2 linked regions of the Xenopus tropicalis genome follow. The protein of the gene in region 1 interacts with the protein of each later gene in a pairwise test. Links are inferred from orthologs where the notes say so. Each region holds a gene or a part of one and is shown in the gene's direction. Other genes may lie near its edges. The genes, in order: dnajb11 and ubr1.

Evidence for each region.
Region 2: the proteins of dnajb11 (region 1) and ubr1 interact in a two-hybrid assay, tested with the Homo sapiens proteins (2 studies listed by BioGRID and IntAct). The link is inferred for Xenopus tropicalis from reciprocal best matches to the Homo sapiens genes DNAJB11 and UBR1.

What each region holds. Positions count from the first base shown.
Region 1 is NC_030685.2:43,677,317-43,681,141, reverse strand, and holds part of dnajb11 (dnaJ homolog subfamily B member 11), read left to right. Parts: intron 1-738; coding exon 739-895; intron 896-2,854; coding exon 2,855-2,952; intron 2,953-3,825. UniProt on the Homo sapiens protein: As a co-chaperone for HSPA5 it is required for proper folding, trafficking or degradation of proteins.
Region 2 is NC_030684.2:105,745,427-105,749,993, forward strand, and holds the start of ubr1 (E3 ubiquitin-protein ligase UBR1), read left to right. Parts: upstream 1-1,518; 5' UTR 1,519-1,625; intron 1,626-2,047; 5' UTR 2,048-2,423; coding exon 2,424-2,489; intron 2,490-4,567. UniProt on the Homo sapiens protein: E3 ubiquitin-protein ligase which is a component of the N-end rule pathway. Recognizes and binds proteins bearing specific N-terminal residues that are destabilizing according to the N-end rule, leading to their ubiquitination and subsequent degradation.

The sequences.
Region 1 (3,825 bases):
TAAGTTAATCTCTCCGCACCATTATTTAAAAGTCCCCAATTCACCCCGGGACACCAAACTTGCTTACTTCAGTGGCGGATAGATCAGAACCTTGTTAGAGTTAAAAACTTACAGTGAGAGGTCCATTTACCCTTGATTATCTGTGAGAATGATACAATCTTCCAGACTTGGAACACTTCCGTGCATCCCAAATACTCCACTTTGTAGCAAAATGCTGGAAGCAATATATACCCCAATCTACAAATCAGACTTACTTTGAGAAATGGTGTATAGATGGAACTACTCCCCCGAAAGCTATTACAATTCTATACCAATATATTAGTTCCCCAAAACAATTACTATATCTCTAGTATATTAAAGGAACATTAACGCCAAAAATGAAAGTTTATTAAAAAATTTAAACTATAATGTACTGTTACCCTGCAGAGGTAAAGTTGTGCATTTGCTAAAGTAACAGTACTATAACTTATATAAATAAGGTGCAGGGACATGTAGGAGGCGTAGGGCGGAATTTGCAGCAAGCGCTTTTAAGCTTGCCGAAAATATCCGCCCTACGCCTCGTGTGGGATTAGTCTTAGACTAACCTAAAACATGCCACAAAACAAGTGAAATACTTGTGTATAAAGTGAATTCCTGTACTGTACAAACTCTTTAAATTTCATTTTTTTGTGCAAATGTCATATTTTTTACTTTTTCCTTGTTTTCTCCTGTTTAATTGGCTAACTCCTGTTCTTCTAGGCGTGATTTTTATAAAATCTTGGGTGTGTCAAAAGGAGCTACTGTAAAGGAGATAAAGAAGGCTTATCGAAAGCTTGCCTTGCAGCTTCATCCAGACAGAAACCCTGATGATCCTAATGCACAAGAAAAATTTCAAGACTTGGGGGCTGCCTATGAGGTTTGTAAAAAGTGACGCCCCCCCCCTCAAAATTACTACTGTTTCATAGAAAGAAAAGAGAACAATACTTATATTCACTAAAGATACATTTAGTACTGTCACTGTATGTCAGTCTGAAAATACATTAAATAGGATACATTTCCTTATCCTTCATTATTCTCATTAAGTTGGTTATAGTCATAATAGATATAGTGCATAATGTACCCCCTGCAGTAAAATTTAAGGATATTACAATTCACCAAGGAATTCCATGACTCACTTAAACTGGTGTATTATAAAAATAATGCACCCCCTGTTGTAAAATATAGGGATGTTTTAAGTAACTTAGGATTTTAATGACCTGTATCAAAGCACACTGCCTGCACTCTCTTTTGCTTTTATATGGTAATGGAACTTTCCCGTGATTTATAATATATAATACATTAAAAGAATGTCATAATGTCACTGAGGAGTTCCATGATCATAAAAAGTGTTTTATATTAGTAATTAAGCTCTGAGGTGACATTTTTTATCTGCATATTTTACAAGGGTACATTGTTTATTATGAAACACAAGTTTTATTGAGCAGTGGCAGAAATTACATCATTAAGCACTAATTATAACAGATAACTATACTAAGCACCTGATGTAAGTACCTTACGTGATATTCATGCTTCTTGTGCATTCTAACCTATAATATACAACGGGGTATATTATTTTATGTATAATTCTAATAAATTATTTTTGCTTTCTAGCACTAACTGGAGTCTCAAGTTACTATTAAGTGCTATTCAAAGGTAACTGTAGCTTTCACTCCAACTTGCAGCGCAGCAGTAAAGTGTGACTGAAGTTTATCAGAGAACAAATCATATGGCTGTGGCACCCTTGGTAATAAAGTCATAGCTATCCCCATGTGAAAATTTCAGAATTAATTATAAAAAAAAAAAAAGTTTGTGCTTTTAAAAAAACAGATTTCAGTCACCTCACTAGGGTACTATTATTAACTATTATTATGTGAAGTTAACTTGTGTTTTGTTTGAAAAAAAAAAAAATACTTTATAGCTTATTGACTTAATAAGTTTTCTGTATGCTTTTACAAGAGTCAAAACATTTAGATAAAAAAACAAAAAAAAAAAAAATTAAATGCAGGATTCTGCTGGAGAAGCACTATTAGCTGATGTGGTTAAAAAAAACAAAACATGTTTTCCCACGACCGTATTCCTTTGATTCTGGCAAAAAAAAAAAAAAGCATTTAATCAATAAATATACCCAGTAGGATGGTTTTGCAACCAATGTGGATTTGTGCATCTTAGTTACCCTCAGGTACAAGGAGTTTTTTTATTATTACAAGGAAAAAGGAAATTAGAATTATTGGCTTAAATGGACTTTATTGGATATGTCCTTCCCTTAATTAAATGCTCATTGGATAATGTCCTTCTGGGTAAAGCATCCTGCATATTAAAAATTTGCACTGTATAGGGATGCACCGAATCCACTATTTCGGGATTCGGCAGAACCGAAATCCTTGAACCGATTCAAATCCTAATTTGCATATGCAAATAAAACTACTAAAATGTTAAAAAGAACCATCCGTGCAACGAAAAAAATTTTGGGTTCGGCCAGGACCATGGACTAGGGAAGTTAAAATAATGTTGATCATTAGGCATAAAAGAAAATACAAAAACTTTATCAATAACATGCTATTTTTTTTCAACAATGTTAATAATTTTACAGATTTCCATTATTTTTTGACTAGATCCTCTTTAAAATTATTAAAATAATTGTAAAGTGTATGCATCCTTTTATTGTAGAGAGCTGTGGAATATGTTAATAACGCTATGTTTAAAACTGAAGATGAAGTAGCAGATCTGAACTCCCCTTAGATCACTGTTTTGTGTTTTGTTATAGTATTTTAATAATGCTATTGACAGGTATGAAACTCACATATTCTAATTTTATGATTTTGTAACTTTAAAATAGGTGCTTTCAGATGAAGAAAAAAGAAAGCAATATGATACATATGGCGAAGAGGGGTTAAAAGATGGACATCAAAGCTCCCATGGTGATATATTTTCTCAGTAAGTAAAAATCAGCATTGGATCTAAATAAAGATATTCTGACTGGGAATTGACAGATTGAAACTAATATCAGGGAAAATATCAAAAATATTCTGTCAAATGCATTAAAAATTGTTATATATATATATATTATAAACAATGCAGAAGAATGGCACTCACAGGATTTGCTAAATTAGGCTTCCAAAGATTTATTTGTTGGGGGATTGACACCCTCCAATCCGTACTGGAACAAACACAAACACTGGCACATGTTTGAAGAATAGGCTTCCCCCAAAACATTACATGGTTTGCATATATTAAACATACAGGGTTTATGTCATTTGTAAATGCCTTGTTGTGCCAGTGTTTGTTTCTTACAGATGTGAACAATTCAGGGCTGTATAGGTATGAGCAATACAGGGTCTTATATGTATGAACAATTCAGAATCATACAGGTGTAAATAATGCAGGACCTGAGCCAATACTAATATCTTAGAGGTAAGCAGTCACAGCAACAAGACTTTAATCGTTTGTGTCCCGCTGGCCGCCAGTTGAACAGCACCGTCCTAAGCAATAAATGACATCCTATTCTCCTTTCTGGATATAATATTGATATATGCACAAACCGGACCAGCACACAAAAGCACTGTCCTAGGGATGATCCCCTGTGGTTCATATAGTCAAAAGTTTCCACTTAAATTTAAAGAATCTAAAGCTGCTGCCAGTTTATTGATAAATGAATAGGATATAAACAATAAGCTGCTTTACTGTTATATGTATAAATGCAGCTTCATCAGCACCCAGCCTGGCTACATTCCTTTACTTTCCCTCTGCACATGTTTGCTATTGAGGGGTGTAGCCTCATGACATGCCACAGCAAATTAGCTTTTACTC
Region 2 (4,567 bases), on another chromosome or scaffold:
GATCATGGGGTGGCCTGGGCTGGTCTTTTTTGTGTTGAGCTCCACTGGCTTGACAGACTTAAGAGTTGTCTAGTGGGACAATATGCAATGAAGATAGCAGTATTGTAGCTTAGGGTGAAGACATATGGAGCTACTAGTAGCAGCTACTTGTCATGGCTACAGGAATAGACAGCTCATTGATGCGGTCCCCAAACCAACTGCCCCATTGCCGCCAATCAATCAAAATTTTTTTTTTACCTACACGCTCCCCGATATCGCCCACCCATAGGTGGGGATATCGGGTGAAGAGCCACTCGCTGGGCGATCTCGCCAAGCGAGCGAATCTTAACGTGTATGGGGACCTTTAGACTGGACCACCTACCACCACCTGCCCTCTTCCTTAAAGGAGACATATCCTATAAAAATTATGAATGTACCAGGGAATTATACTCCTCTAGATATAGAAGGATTGTGCTTAAAAAGTTGTGTTTCTGACTGATTTATTGAGAAATTCCCCCCAAACCCCACTAGCCCCGCCCATCTGTTCCACTTCCTGCTAGCTGAATTCTCTGGATGAGCTGGGGAGCCAGCGGCCCTCCGTACCCTGCACTGTAGGATAGGATAGGGAACTGAAGCCTGTCTGTGCTTGTGTGAGTGCAGGGCTGTGATTGGCTCTCCCCCTCCTACTGTGCTTCTGGCAGGGACCGTTAGGACACGCCCACCCCTCATTTGAAACCCAGACAGGGACCTGAGAGGATCTATAGGGAGCTCCAATAAAGGGGCCATTGTTACAGATAGGGTTAGTGTTTAGCCCAAAGGGAAACCAGCACCGGATATTATTCATAATTACCTACAGGGTTAGGGGTTTCCCATTTATCCAATGTCTCCTTTAACACTAATGCATTTTAAAAAGCACTCACAGAGGTGAGGAGAAATTGTGATCTCTGCACAAGGAAAGCTAAAAAACTGGTAGCTATTTAGGCTACTTGGGCACTACCCCCTGAGGCATGGAGCACACCTTGTCTCAAGTCAGAATACCCTGCCTATGAGTCCTGCCAGCATACCACATGGAGAGCAGCTCCTGGTGCATTTATACCCCCAGTCATACTCCAGTAATCCCAAAACTACCTCCCAAAAATACATTGCCATAAGATGAACAATACTGTTTCTGTCATAAGGGACCTTATTAAGAGCCACAAGTGCTGACCATATAATTGTAATAGCTCAGTCTATGCTGACAGCTACATGGTAGACAATACGCCCCAAGTACCACTGCCCTAAGGTTAAAGGGAATCAGTGCTTGTGTGACAGCAGGAGGGCCGCAGCGTACAAATAAAAGGGTCTGCTTTTGGAGGCTGTTATGCACATACAAGTGTTGTGAATGAGAGTTAAAATATAATAAAAAGAACAACAGAAAATCACTGTTCGGAGAGAGCTGCGCTGCACTAATCACCATTAGCAGCAAAACCCTTTGGGAGCAGAGACGGGGGCGGGGTTTGTGCTTCCATTGAATAGTGTTGCTTGTCACTCACTGACATGACCACTTCCTGTGGAAGAATGAAAGCATACGCCCAGCAGTCATTTCAGCCCTGGCACTGAGCAGAGTGGATCTTTCTGTAGCTCTGCTACACTGACGGTTTTAAGAGGTAAAATGCAATTTTAGACATTTTTTTGAGAGCCCTACACATGTAAACGAAAGGGGCATATAACATAATGTAATGAGGATGACTCAATATGACTCAATTGTCTTTGTAACACCGACTTGCAGGGATGTCGTTCAGCCTCCCTAATAGCTGCTTCTCTGCATCCGTTCCAGTTTTAGTAGAAATGCAGGATGAGATCAGTAATTAAGGCTTGTTTGCCTGAGCTGTATATTTGCAGGAATGCCAACAAAAATCATGTCATAATGATCACTCCTGTGCATTTTTGTGACCTTTTCATGTTACCATTTAGTATGAAGAGGAATAAAGTTTTGAAAAATCTATGTTCCTAATTCTTTTAACTTTATGTTGTTTTAAGTTTCTACAGATCCAACATTTATGTGCTTTTTTTGAATTTATATTTTCAGGCAGTTAACATCACACTAAAAAAATATAAAAGTGCAGTTCATTTTCAGCTTGACTTGAAGATTATTCAGCCTTGAATTGTCACGGATATGCCTGCTGGGGACGCACTGGGATTTACAAAGCTGAAAGTGCTGAAGCACTTGTGTATTTATGTTGTTGTATTCTGAAGAGCACAGGTCCTGATATAATTAGTGACACATACTGCCTGCCTGGACTCTTTGCACTCACTGACTAACGTTCTATTATACCACCATTGTCTCTACCATACCCCTGCAAGTGCAACTTGATGTGAAACCCAGTTGGGCCTTTACTGGGCTCCCAGGTGCTGTTGTGCTGTCTGGGTGATGTGACAGGGCAGCTGTGTCAGGAACTGTGAAGATGGAGTCTGGAGGTGGAGGATTGGAGCAAAGCAGGGAGCCAGGGGATGGAGAAATGCTTGCCATGGTGAGAATACATCTGCTGGTTAATTTAAGCAATATGGGCCTGTATGACAGCTGTAGGACAGCAGCTCCCTCTTTAACTGGTGACACTGGGAGTTCAACAACACAGGTTGTTGGATACAGAGGGTATGGTACAGCAGGGGCAGTAAGAGGTCAGTGCAGAAAGTGGTGCCATTGAAACTGGCACAACAGGCATCTAGGGCACTACCTACTTAATGCATAATAGGGTAAAAGAAGGCTTAGTTTAGGTTTATCTGCCTAAATCTTAGAAGTTTGGAGCTGGTGAGTAAGTTGTGGCAACCAGTCAAAACTTTTCAGCCGGCCAACTGCAAATCAGCTTACTGAATAAGCCCACATTTTATCTGAAATGGGCAGAGAATAGATGCTAGGCATTGTTTGGTAACTGACAACATAAGAGAAAAATACCCAGTAGTAGAGAGCTCGGTGCACGGTGCTGGAGGGATCAGCACCCTCCCAATTAACTTAAGAACAAGAAAAGAGCGCTGGCACTTGGATTAAGCAATAGCAGGGCAAGCCCTTGCAAATTATTTTTCTTGTTCTTGGTAACAGACAGCAAAAGGAGGAATGAAGGGTAATCCATGGGTATTGGCAAACAGGAAGGAAGCAGGGAGGATGGGCACCATTTGGTATCCAGGTGGTCAGCAGTGCCATGCTACTTAAAGGAACAGTAACACGAAAAAATTAAAGAGCTTTTAAGTAATAAAAATATAATGCACTGTTGCCCTGCACTGGTAAAACTGGTGTGTTTGCTACAGTAACCCTACTATAATTTATATAATAAGATGTTGTGTAGCCACGGGGGCAGCCATTCAAGCTGGAAAAAAGGAGAAAAGGCACAGGTTACATAGCAGATAACGGATAAGCTCTGTAGAATACAATAGTGTTTTATCTGTTATCTGCTATGTGCCTGTGCCTTTTCTCCTTTGAATGGCTGCCCCCATGGCTACATAGCGGCTTATTTATATAAATGATAGTAGACTTTCTGAAGTAAACACACAACTTTTACCAGTGCAGGGCAGCAGCACATTATATTTTAGTTAGTTTTATACACTTTCATTTTTTTCTGTTACTGTTCCTTTAAGGGCCAAAGCCATTGTTACAATTACATTTGATTCATGGGAGCCAATGCATTAAGGAGCTCATCCTGCCTGGCCTGAAATGAGTGACCAGAAAGTTACCAATACCAAGTTTCTTCCAACTAGCTGCTCAAAGCCAAAGCGATGTGTATGTTTTCTCACCAGTGATTTACATTATTGCCCGTGGGAAAACATTTTCAGGATATTAGTTGTTTGTGGTAGAGGAGATTTTTCACGTGTGCCATCAACCTAAGTGCACTGGTATACTTTTTTTTATATAAATTCCTTTTTGGGATTAGTCTGTATGTTCATTTAGTTTAGGAACACTGTGTGACGGCAATGGTGTATGCTCAGTGGGTATGACTATGTGATAACTGTTAGGGCACACCATTTAAATATCACATACAAATACTGTAGGTAGGAAAGCAGTAATAAACAGTAGCTCAGTATGCTTTGTAGAAAAAGCACTTTACAAACTCTGGCTTGGGTTTGGTAATTCTATTTTTACTTTGGATGCCACTTGTTGCTTCAGTGTACGGTACCTCTTATATAGAATGTTCAGGACCTGGGTCTTTCACTGCAGAAAACCCAGCACTCCCATTGTAACTAACGCTATGTTTGCCTTTCCATTAGCATAAGACATTAGCTGCCACTGGAACAAGGAAGCTCTAGGGCTCATTTACTCTGGAAATTATCTTCTTCAGTTATATGTAGCAGATTTTATCTTTATTATTAACCAACAAATTCTGCAGTGCTTTACAGTAAATGGGTTTATGCATTGAACATACAGAATTACCTACAAAGCAACCAATAACCGATACAAGAGGCAAAGAGGTCACTGCCAAAAAATTCTTACTAAAAAAAAAAAAGCAGTAATTTTTTTTTTGTTTACTATAGTTGACAAGGAAAGCCTAATGCACTGTGCGTAACAATATGGAATCCTCAGTGAATTCAGTTGCAAGTTTTTTGAGGGTTGGCTGGTGCT